3 linked regions of the Sus scrofa genome follow. The main gene of each other region encodes a partner of the protein of the gene in region 2 in a complex. Links are inferred from orthologs where the notes say so. Each region holds a gene or a part of one and is shown on either strand. Other genes may lie near its edges.

Evidence for each region.
Region 1: the proteins of NTSR1 (region 2) and ARRB1 are in contact, whole or in part, in a cryo-EM structure (PDB 6UP7), measured with the Homo sapiens proteins. The link is inferred for Sus scrofa from reciprocal best matches to the Homo sapiens genes NTSR1 and ARRB1. Residues at the interface, in NP_002522.2 of Homo sapiens: Ser93, Leu94, Gln95, Ser96, Leu97, Gln98, Thr100, Val101, Arg166, Ile170, Pro173, Lys177, Phe286, Ser287, Met288, Ala289, Ile290, Ala297, Leu298, Gly301, Ser368, Asn370; in NP_004032.2 of Homo sapiens: Tyr63, Arg65, Asp67, Leu68, Val70, Leu71, Gly72, Leu73, Thr74, Phe75, Arg76, Lys77, Asn245, Thr246, Ala247, Gln248, Tyr249, Lys250, Lys284, Arg285, Gly286.
Region 3: the proteins of NTSR1 (region 2) and NTS are in contact, whole or in part, in a crystal structure (PDB 4BUO), measured with the Rattus norvegicus proteins. The link is inferred for Sus scrofa from reciprocal best matches to the Homo sapiens genes NTSR1 and NTS. Residues at the interface, in NP_001102437.1 of Rattus norvegicus: Ser53, Asp54, Leu55, Asp56, Asn58, Phe128, His132, His133, Tyr146, Met208, Val224, Cys225, Thr226, Pro227, Ile238, Arg327, Arg328, Phe331, Cys332, Tyr333, Ile334, Ser335, Asp336, Trp339, Phe344, Tyr347, His348, Tyr351; in NP_001095851.1 of Rattus norvegicus: Arg157, Arg158, Pro159, Tyr160, Ile161, Leu162.

Annotation. Positions count from the first base shown.
Region 1 is NC_010451.4:9,540,124-9,543,766, reverse strand, and holds part of ARRB1 (beta-arrestin-1), read left to right. Parts: intron 1-2,135; coding exon 2,136-2,180; intron 2,181-2,936; coding exon 2,937-3,133; intron 3,134-3,643. UniProt on the Homo sapiens protein: Functions in regulating agonist-mediated G-protein coupled receptor (GPCR) signaling by mediating both receptor desensitization and resensitization processes.
Region 2 is NC_010459.5:62,030,989-62,034,631, forward strand, and holds part of NTSR1 (neurotensin receptor type 1), read left to right. Parts: intron 1-82; coding exon 83-173; intron 174-1,309; coding exon 1,310-1,559; 3' UTR 1,560-3,643. UniProt on the Homo sapiens protein: G-protein coupled receptor for the tridecapeptide neurotensin (NTS). Signaling is effected via G proteins that activate a phosphatidylinositol-calcium second messenger system.
Region 3 is NC_010447.5:96,270,048-96,274,297, reverse strand, and holds the start of NTS (neurotensin/neuromedin N), read left to right. Parts: upstream 1-1,350; 5' UTR 1,351-1,551; coding exon 1,552-1,627; intron 1,628-3,826; coding exon 3,827-3,888; intron 3,889-4,250. UniProt on the Homo sapiens protein: Neurotensin may play an endocrine or paracrine role in the regulation of fat metabolism. It causes contraction of smooth muscle.

The sequences.
Region 1 (3,643 bases), on a different chromosome or scaffold from region 2:
GGGGGAAAATTCCCAGCAAGCTTGTCATCACATCCCTGGGGGCCGTGCTGGGGCCAAGAGGAGTGGCGTGTGGTCCCAGAGCCCCCCGGGCAGGGGAGGGGGCAGAGAGAGCAGAGTGACAGGCTTTGGCTCCGGGGAGGAAGGCCTTTGTGACCTTGGGGCAGGAGACCCGGGGAGTCCCTGGGGTCCTTGAACAGGCTGCGGGCTCCAGAGTCCTCCAGGCCCCTCTCTTCATGGCCTGGAGCAGGGGGACCCCGCTTTTCCTCTCCAGCCCTAGCAGGTGTCCTCTGAAGCTCACTGCTCCCTCTGCCTGATGCCCCCTTCTCCCTGAACTTGGAGGCAGGAGGCAGGACTCTGTGTTTGCCTGTGGCGGCTCCAAGGCGGGGCTGCCTGCAGGCGGTCTGAAGCCGGGGCCTTTGAGGGTCGTGGTGGGGGCGCAGGGGCCAGGGGAGGGGCAGGAGCAGGAGGGCTCTGGCTCCCCCAATGCACACAGGCACCCTGAGAACGGCTTGACAAGTGTCCACAGGGCACCCGTTTCATGCCAGGCCCTGTGGATCGCAGAGCACGCCAGAGCTGATCAAATGACCCGCAGAGAGAACTTTCTCCCTTACAGCACTGAGCTGGTTAGTTCTTCCCGATGCTTAACTATCCCCCTGGCTGCCCTTCAAACTTGGGGGCAAGTCCAAGCCCCAGCCTCACACACCGGACGTTTAAGGTCTGGGCCAGGCCCTCCTTCCTCCGCCAGCCTCCGGGATCAGCTCTCCAAGCCTCAGAGCAAGGCTCTTGTCGCTGCCACCATGGGCTGGCTGTCCCTTGGTCATCTAACTGATGACCGTTACGCCCTGGCTCCAGCTTCCCTCCCCCAGGGAGCTTCCGGGGGACCCCTTGTTAGGGGAGTGCCCTTGTCAGGGTCCCCCTCCTGGGGTTCCGCTCAGTCCCTGGCGCCCAGGCACAGAGGAAACCCCCCAGGAAAGGAGGGAAGGGGCCCGGCAGGCTCTGGACATGGGGTGGGCGTGCCCTTGACCAGCTGTGCCCTGGACCTGCCCAGCACTGGGGGTGGGGGGGGTGGTGACCAGGAGCTCGCAGGGCCCTCCCTTCCTAATGTGGCCTCTGAGCTTCTCTGAGCGGCTGGCTGTGGGCCAGTGTGGGATGGGGGTGGTGGTGGGTTAGATGGGGGATGACAGGCGAGGGAGTGCCCCCAAACCAGTCTTTCTGGTCTCCTGGGGTTCTGGGCAGAGAAAACATCCTTTGTCTTCAGCTGGATTCTGCCTTCCCAAGGCCAGGCCTTGGGACATTCTCCATGGGGTCACCTGTGCCAGGCACTCTCCCACCCTCTGCACACATTAATTCACGTGGTCCTCACAGGAGCCCTGTGAGGTACGTAGCCCAGAATCAGAAGCCTGATCCCTACATCCCGCATCCAGAATCTTAGAGCGCTGCAACTTGCTCATAGGCTTGATACAGGATTTCACTAGCGGCAAACCTGACCTGAACCGAGGGGAGGCCATTCATGCCTTCGCCTCTCGGTGAACAGATGCCCGTGTCGCTGCAGGGGTGTTAAGGGGTTTGGCACAGAGCCTGCCGAGGACCTTAGAGAATCTGTGGAAGGTGTGGCCGTGGCCTTTCCGCTTGATATTGGGGTTTGGGAGCCAGCATAGTATCTCCCAGATGAAGAAACAGAAGTTATATAACCTTAGAGTTCCCATCATGGCGCGGTGGAAACGAATCCGACTAGGAACCCTGAGGTTGCCGGTTCGATCCCTGGCCTCACTCAGTGGGTTAAGGATCCGGCGTTGCCGTGAGCTGTGGTGTAGGTCGCAGATGCAGCTCGGATCCCGGGCTGCTGTGGCTCTGTGGACCCTTAGGCCTGGGAACCTCCATATGCTGCAGGTACAGCCCTAAAAAGCCAAAAAAAAAAAAAAAAAAAAAGGCAAGTTAAACAACCTGTTGGGTCTGTGAGGCTGGCCTCGGTGGGGGTGGGGGGCATAGTGGACTCGTCTCCTGGGAGCTGCTGGCCTCCGCCTCTTTTTCATGATGCTTTTGGACAGACAGATGGGTGGGTTTGAATTTAACTTGGTCTTTGGGGCTCAGAAGTTTGAGAGGTCAAGTCTGCTCACTCTCTGTTTTTCCTGCAGATGGCGTGGTCCTGGTGGATCCTGAGTATCTCAAGGAGAGGAGAGGTGAGCTGTCCCCCCGCCAGCCTGTCAGGGGGCCTCTCCTCCCCCAGAACCCCCAGTCCCAAGGCCTCCCTGACTCCCAGACAGAACGCTGGCAGGAGGAGAGGCAGCAAGCCGGTCCCTGTCCCTCCCCACTGGCTCTTCCTTTGACAGCTCTAACCAGCGTCAGAGCAGGTGCTCTGGCCTCGTCTGGCTGGGCGGCCGTGGCCACGCCCCCTTTGGGAGACCCTCTTAATGCCCTTGGCATCCACCCACCCATCCATCATGCTGTCGGGAGGCTGGGAATGCAAACAGGGTAGGAGTTAGGCCCTCACTCACTGTCCAGAAGAGAAGACTGATTCCTGGGGGGGGCGAAGGGATGGTCCGAGGTCAGCAGGAAGGCGGGAGGCAGGGGTTGGGCGGGGCAAGCCCTCATGACTTCGGGACACCACCCAGGCTTGTTTTCCCCCGACTCCACTCCCCTGTGCTCCTTCCCGGCCCCTGTGAACCCGTCAGAGCCCCTTCGCCCCCGTGCCCTGGGCTGCTGGGTTGGGAGGGGTGGGGAAAGCTGAACGGACCCAGCAGTCAGCCCCCGCCTCGTCCCAGGGGCCAGGCCCCTGACGGCCCCCCCCCCTCCCTGTCCCAAGGGCAGCGCGCCCTTCCCCGGGGAGGCGCCCAGGGACAGATCCATGCCTCTGGTGGAGCCAGTCCCAGGGCTGGGGCGCGTGTTGGCTGCTCCCCGGCCCCCCGGCCCCTCCTCAGTGTCCCCTGCCCCCGCAGTCTACGTGACGCTGACCTGCGCCTTCCGATACGGCCGGGAGGACCTGGATGTCCTGGGCCTGACCTTTCGCAAGGACCTGTTTGTGGCCAACGTGCAGTCCTTCCCGCCGGCCCCCGAGGACAAGAAGCCCCTGACGCGGCTGCAGGAGCGCCTCATCAAGAAGCTGGGCGAGCACGCCTACCCTTTCACCTTTGAGGTCAGGGACTGCCAGCCCCCCGGGGGCCCCATTCCAGAAGCCTCACCTCTAGCAAGCCCCCTGGGTGGCCCCCCCTCCCAGGGGGCAAACTGGGGCAGCTGCTCCGTGCCACCCAGTCCCCCAGCGTTCGCTGGCCAGGGCGCTGGCACTTAACACCGCCTGGTGAGTGTCTCTTCTCTGGGCACTGCCAGGGGGCGTCACCTTTAACCCCTGGGCTGATCCCCAGACCCTCCTGAGTCCAGGTCATTGGTGGGGGGAAGAGGGGGATGGGCCGTCTCCTCCCTCAGACCTGCTGCCCACGAGCCGGCCCCCACCCAGCTCACAAATGAGGAGGGCGAGATTTCCCTGCTCGGCTCCCTTTCCACTCCAAGAATCTGGAGTTTCAAGTTTCCTGTTTCTCAGACTCTGATTCTTCGATCAGTGAAATCTCCCAGCTTTCTGTGGGGGTCAGAGACAGAAAGAGCCACCCTCTCGTGGTTTCCTGTGGCTGCTGTAACAAACCACTGCAAA
Region 2 (3,643 bases):
TGCTGCGCGGCACATGTAGGTCGCTTTGAGCAGCGCCGTCGTCCTCACGGTGTCCCCGGGCCTCCCCTCCCCCGTGTTGCAGGTGCCGTGGTCATCGCCTTCGTGGTCTGCTGGCTGCCCTACCACGCGCGGCGCCTCATGTTCTGCTACATTTCCGACGAGCAGTGGACCCCGTGAGTATGGAGCCCGGGTGGGGGCTCGAGCCGCGCCATGCTCCCCGGCACCGGCGGGGGTGGGGGGTGGGGGCGCATCCGGTGGCCCTCGGGCGAGCCTGCGACGGGAGGCAGGGGCGAGGCCAGAGAGGGTCAGACACCCCCGGAGGCTGCACCAGGAAAGCAGGTCCGAGGAGGATCCACACAGGCAGGTAGGGGGCCGTCTGGAGGGGGACAGTGAGGGCTGGGTGTGGGGGGAGGGCTGGCAGCTGTCGGGGCCCCTGGACCACCCCCGCCTGTAGGAATTGCCGGAAGGACCCCCGGGGCTCGAGAGCGTCACACACACGCGTGCCGATGCGTGACAGTGAGGCCGTGCCATGTATGGACACGGCCCCGGCCCGTGGGCGCCCTGCAGTGGCAGCCTGAGCCCGGCTATGTGAGCAGCTCTGCGTGCAGGCCACCGGGTCCAAGGGCTGAGGGACCTTCCTAGCAGCGGGGAGTGTTGGGGAGGGCAGGTCCAGGATGGATATAAGGAGATGTCACAGGCGGGAGAACAACCCAAAATGGTTTCTGGGAGCTCCCGCTATGGCTCAGCAGAAACCAGCCCAGCTAGCATCCATGAGGATGCGGGCTCCGTCCCTGGCCTTCCTCAGTGGGTTAAGGATCCGGTGTTACCGCGAGCCGTGCTGTAGGTCCCAGATGTGGCTCAGATCTGGCGTGGCTGTGGCTGTGGTGTAGGCTGGCAGCTGTAGCTCTGATTAGACCCTTAGCCTGGGAACCTCCATATGCCACAGGTGCGACCCTAAAAGGGGGAGGGGTCCTGAAACTCAGGGCTGCCTGGGGAAGGAGCGACGTCCTGGGGCACGAAGGCAAACAAGCTGTGGATGAGGGGCACAGCTGTCTGGGGGGTGTGGAGGGGGTCCCTGCCTTGGCTGCCCCATCCAGGCCAAGCTCTGGCCGAGGCCTGCGGCCCTTGGAGGGAGGGCGGCCGCAGCTCCGCTCCGCCGACCCGGGCCAGGCGGGAGTGTGGGCTGAGCGTCCCCCTTCTCCAGGGAAGCCGGAGCCCCGGGTCCAAAAAGGCCACGTCGCCTGTGGCCGGGGCTCCGAGCCGCCGCCACCCCGCCGCCGCGGCTGAGCGCCCCGTCCCGCCCGCGCAGGTTCCTCTTCGACTTCTACCACTACTTCTACATGCTCAGCAACGCGCTCTTCTACGTCAGCTCCGCCATCAACCCGGTGCTCTACAACCTCGTCTCCGCCAGCTTCCGCCAGGCCTTCCTGGCCACCCTGGCCTGCCTCTGTCCCCTGTGGGGGCGCCGGAGGAAGAGGCCAGCCCTCTCCAGGAAGACCAACAGCGTGTCCAGCAACCACACCTTCTCCAGCAACGTCACCCGGGAAACGCTGTACTAGGGTGGGGGGGCACTCAGAGAGGGGCTGCCGCTGGCCTCCAGCCGTCCTGGGAGCTGCTCCTCTCTCCCCCCCCTCACCTCCCCTGCGCCCGCCTCGCTCTCCCCTTTGAAAGCCAGAGACAGCTCGAGCCTCCCAGACCGAAAAGGGCCTTAATGGGGAGAACTCAGTGTCAGGTGAAAGGCAGTCGTCTTTGTTCTCAGACTAATGGATGTTTAGACAGAAAAGGACTGAAAGCAGCAGGTCGGGCCGGGCCCTGGGCAGCCGGGCAGCCGTCAGGAGGGGGCGACCCTGGGAGCCGGCGCTGGGTGGAGGCCAGCCGGCAGGACCCTGCTGTCCTGGCACCAGAGGGCCTCCGTCGCGCCTCCAGGCACTCAGGACCCCGTGGGCCGCTCTCCAGCTCTGCCAGGGCAGGTCCTAGGAAGCTTTGATGTGGCAAGAGGACAGTGAGGGGTCAGCCCGGCCCCGGGCCGCCCCCTCCCCGCCACTCCTCCCCAGGCCAAGGCAGCCAGGCTCTGCACAGATGCCACTGCAGGGCCGTTCGGCCGAGAAGCCCTCCATCCCGGCTCTGCGGACACAAGGCCAGGTCAGCGGGGTCCCGGTGGCCAGACCAGTGACATCCCACGTGCTCTCACTCCCCCTGTCCGGCTGAGCTCCTGCCGCTGCAGTGGATGCCCTGCAGTAGAGGGGAGTCACGAGAGATGCCAGCTGTGGGGCCTGGGCTGCAGGCGAGAAGGAGGCACTCTGGGCACCCAGAAGGGCAGATGCCCCCTTGAACTCTGGGGGCTGGTCTCCAGACAGGATGGCCCCGGGAAGGCAGGTCCCTGGGGAGCTGCCCCAGACCAGCTGCGACACTGCGTGGCCGGAGCCAGAAGTGAGACGCAGACCTTTTAAGCAGGTCCTCCCTGGGCCTGGGGCAAGCCCGCCAGAAGGGAGACAGGCGGGCAGACGGGCAGAGGACCTGCGTGGATGGCGATGACCTGGGCCTAGTCTGGGGTCGGCCAGGACTCAGTCCCCCACCCAGGATGCTACAGCATCCGTGGTCCATGGTCACTTCGGATCTGGGCCCTGATGTGAACACTATGTGACTTGCATCCCCAAAGTCCTCCTCCAGGCTGTTCACCAAGAACGGGGCAGGCAGTCTGACCCTGACCCCGTGGCTGCAGCACGGGGCTGAGGTCACTCAGAGCTCCCCATGAGCTTCGGCTCTGGGTGGGAGAGCAGGAGCCCAGCGGAGAGGCTGAGGTCAGCCAGCCCTGGCCCTCAGGACCGCCCTGCCATCCCTGGACCCCGGGCACAGTGCGATTCCCACGCGCCTCGGTTTCCCCAGGCGCCCGAGATGTAGGCGTGGTCACTACACCCACTCAGCCAGGCCTGGACGTGGCGGCCCCGGAGGTGGGGGCAGAGTGGACGTGGGGCGAGATGCCCGCCACCCAGACCCTCCTGTCGGCCCACTTCACATCAGTGGGGACCCATGTCTACGCCCTGCCGGACCCCCCCAAGCCTCCCCAGCTCTGGCTGCATCTCCCTGGAACCCCAGAGGCCGGCTCTGTGTGCCGTGTGTGTCTGGTCTCAGGGTCCAGCGCCCGTGTGGCTGGTCAGCAGTGATGCCGAAACCCCGTGATGTACACTGACCCCAGCGGCGCACACGTCCCGCAGCGACACTCAGTAAAGGAATAAAGGCGACTGGACCCGGCTCCCCAGGAGGCCACGGGCCGCGTGCAGCCGTCACTCAGCAGACAGCCCTCTCCCGGCCCCTTTGCCAACACGCATGCGCTCTGCCCCGTTTCCCGGGGACCGGGCAGGATGCGCCAGCTCAGGCCCTGCCCCCCTGAGCTTTGAGAAGCAGCTGGTGCAGGACTCGGGGTCCCAGGGCTCAGGGTCCTGATCTGTGGCCTAGGCACGGGCAAGGCCCAGTGAAGGTGGGGACCAGGGTCCTGTGACTCTGGGGCGTCCCCTCCCACCAGCCCAAGGAGCTGAAGGGCCCCGGAGGCCAACAGGTGGGGAGCCGGGCCAGGGAGGGCCGTCAGCCTGTCCTCCCACCCAGCGGCCCTGTCTGGAATCTCCCACCAGCAGGAGAGGCGTCA
Region 3 (4,250 bases), on a different chromosome or scaffold from region 2:
CCTTGAGTGAGTCGTTTTCAATATTGTGTTGTATGTAAGTCTGTAAAACAAACTAAAAATAGTAAAAAAAATCCATTGTTAAATTCCTAAACATTAAATTACAGGAATGACTCCTTACTATTTAAAATTATTATTCATCTTCTTTGGTATAGGGTAAAATGGAGAAATCAATTCCATAGACATATACAATATAATTTAAATCAACTCTCTGTAGAAGTCGATCCAGACTTCTTTTCTTGATTGTTACTGTATGATTGATGTGCTTAAGAAGTGAGAAAGTCTCAGACACCATTTACCTTCAAATATTCACATTTCTAACAGCACCACCTTTTAAGATCACACCATGTATCCTGAAATACTTAAAGCAAGAAGAAAACTTCACTCCAAAAGACAATCTGAGAAATTTTCTTCCTATAACCAGGAGAGGGAATGGGTGTCATTGTAACCGGCAAAATGTGTGAAGATGCTCTTAGAAACGTGCCTGGTGGAGAGCGGTTATCTAGGACTATTTCCTTTCCAGAGTATGGTCTCATTTTTTATGACTCTCGCAGAGGAAGAGATCTGATGCAATGGTGAAAACCAGTGAGAGAGGGATTACAGACTGAATAAGGCATGGCGTCAAGACTGAATCCAAAAGGAGCAGGTCAACGCCGACAGAAAAAGAGGAAAGTATCAGAAAATAGCAATCGGTGATGCAGTGCTGCATATTTCCACCTGCTAACACATAAATAGTTTAGAGCTGGGTTTTGTAAACATCAAATTACTTTTCTAAGACATTCAACCATAAGTCAGCATATACACTTCCGTCATCCTTCCAGTTACTTAAAGACTTTTTGATTTTTAGGAAAAAATACCCTATTCCTTAGAGCTACTACTCTCTTTTCTTAAAACTGATTTTCTCTTTTCTCTAAAGTATTTTGCTTAACTCAGTATTATAACTGGTTCTCTTCTAGCATGTACTAAGACTTGTATTAGTCCCCAAACCACAAACCCCTTGTTCAAAAGTGCGAATTACCAGAAAAGAATTCTCTGTAAGAACTTCTAAACATAAAGGATTACTGATTTCAGGCATTCATCCTGGAGGTTTTGCTTATATTAGAAATAACAGGTCTCATGCTTCACAAAATCAAAATGACAATTTAGAGTCAGGGAATGAGAGGAAATGGGGAAAGCAGGGTGCTGGAAGTTCTTTTCCCGTAGGCTCTATATAGAATTGCTTTTGAATGACTCCTTCTGTGTGTCAGAAATCCGGAGCAGCAGTAGCAATTAGGGACGATGTTACTTTCACTGGAGGTTCAGGAGTGGGAGAGAGGGGCGGGGGGACAAAGGAAAGGGGAGGAGGAAGTGGGGAGCAGAGGGAGGATGAAGATGAAGGGCACATCCTGAAGAGATGCTCGTGACATCATCCCCGGCATATATATATAGGGAAGGGTCAAAGCATCTCTCATAGTTCAGTCACTTCCAAAGTCAGCTGGAGGCTGGAGGAAGCGCGAGAGAGTCCCTTCAGCTTGTCTCTGACGTTTATGGACTTGGCTTGCTAGAAGGCTCAAGATGATGATGGCAGGAATGAAAATCCAGCTGGTGTGTGTGATACTGCTGGCTTTCAGCTCCTGGACTCTGTGCTCAGGTAAGCTCCTTCTGCATTTCACAACTCCCTGAAGGGATTTCTTTTAATGGTTATTGTTGTTGTTGTTGTTTTGCAGTGTGTTGCTACTTACATTAATGCATTCAGGGAGAAGAGTCTCTCCCTTATTCTGGATTGGCTTTTGAGTGGCAGAAACTAGGTATTTTCTTGCTTTGTCCTTATGATCGCAAGAACTGAAAGATCTCTTTTTCATTTTTAAATCTGAGAGATAATAAAAGGGATTTTGGTGAAACACGTCATGGCCCCCTTTGCAGTGTAACCACTAGAGAAAACCAAAATATGTAAAACTTGAGTCAGGCTGGCCACTACCCAAAGAAGGAAATGTGAGAAAGTGAAAACCTGTAATTAAAACTGATTCCATTTGGGATGTTTGATCTTGTCCTCATTCATTCTCTTAGGATGAAGTGGCTTCTCTCTCCCACAAATTATTGTCTTAGTTGTATGTGTATTAAGATACAGTAAAAATTGATGTTTGATGAACAAATGAATAAAGCATTATTTGTGGAAATTTATTTCTAGAAAAATATTAAAAAAAACCAAGCTCTTTTACAAATACATTTAATGTCACTTTTCTATGTGACAGATAGGCATACTATTAACTGTTTTTTTGCATGTTATTTAAGTTGATTCAGGATGTAACTGGAAAATTGTCATTCTTATATTAAGAAAAATTATTTCCCTGCAGAGTATTTTGCCTGTGATAATTAAGAAGAAACCATACATTGCTAAATATTTATCAATAGCTGACTTTGAAAATAAGATTTAAATTTAAAAGAGTAACATGAAATATTTTAATGATTGCAATGTGCTCCAATTAATGTTTGAAAAATAACTGAATGATCACATCAAAATGAAAAAAAAAAAACAGAAGGGCAGCAAAAATCACTTAACCTGCTTTATATTGTTGTATCTTATAAATGTGACACTGAAATATTTCATTCAAATTCCTGATTTTATTTAAATTAATATAAATGTTACTTAACATTTTAAGTTTCTTTTTATCATTAGAAAAAGATCTTGAACTTCTAACTTGCAAATGTTTTTATGAGAAAAATATCAACTTTCCCACAATGATTTTACCTAATAGTTACATGAGTTTAAAGGTATACTTAGAGTATGTGAGAAAAATGTAATTGATTAAGTACAGTGTTTATTAACTCTGGAAATTTCTTGGTGTGATAAGCTAAAATGTGTGAAGATTTTGGGCATACATTTTTGACAAATGGCTAAAGGAATTAATCTTTCTTCTTGAAAAACAGATTGGACCTCTACAAAATAGGAGAAAAAGATCTCTGGTATAATTTAGTTCCTGGTACAATTTAACAAATGTGCCACTTCTCTTTTGCAAGAAATACAGAATCATTTTAATTTCTGCTTTGTTTTATGATATATATATAGCTCAATGAGTATGAGCTAGTTCATCTTGTCAGGTTCTAGAACTTTATTTCTATTACCTTATGGTATTTTCTAAAATTTTCTCCCCTGTAAAATATCCATTAGAGGAGACTGGGAAGGTTATTTTAAAAAAATCAGAAATCCATTTTCAACATTATTGCACATGTATTGATGGACAGCTCCACTTGTGCTTGAGCAATTTCCTTGATAGCCTGTGATAAAATTGCTAAGAGCACATAATTCTAAATTCTTGTTTAGTGTATAAAAACAAATCTTTCTAAGTGTGTTTGTAAAACAGCATCTGAAATTAAATATATTGCAGAGTCTTTCCTATTCTAAAATTATCAACATGCTATTCCCTTTGGTCTCGTCTTGAAAAGTGTCTTGTACATACCTTTTCTTTATGTTGTTTTAAAAAATCAATATGCATATATTCTATATATGTAAACTATTGCTAGTAAAACTTAACCAGCATATTGATGAAATCTCTATTATATAATATAATCAATTTTTTTTACACTGACATTTAGAGATTAAACAATTCCAAATCATCAGTAGCTCTCTTGGCATAAAATCACGTGCTTGTTTTCTTAAAAGTGTTTTTATTATCCTAATAGCCTAAAATAAAACTGTAATTGTTGTTCTGTGAATACTGTTTTAGGGAGAATAAATACAGAGGAGAGACAATAAATTTCTAAAACAAAATTTTTGAGATTCATCTTAAATCTCTGCTACAATTATATGATGTATGATTATATAGTAACATGTGGTTTTGATTTTACTCAGATTCAGAAGAGGAAATGAAAGCGTTAGAAGCAGATTTATTGACCAATATGCATACATCAAAGGTAACTTTTTCTTTTTTTTAAACCAAGGACTGGAAAACATATTCACTCTCCTTATAAACACAGTGTCCTTTTCCTATAGCAATAATTTCCCAGTGAGACTGAAGAGTTTATTGGGAGGCGGTCCCTTTTTGGGAAACTTTTCCTTAAATTTAAAGGATTAAGGGTGTTGATGTGACAGAGAAAGAAATTATAGGGATTGCAAATCATTATAATGAAATTTTAATTAGGTCATCATATATTATTTACATGGGCCTGCAAATTTGTTTCTAAAAACCCGCTTTCCATTCCAATCACATTGTGTATGATGATGTCCATTGGCCTCACGTTAATATGTAAACAGAAACTAAGTACCATTTTTGCCT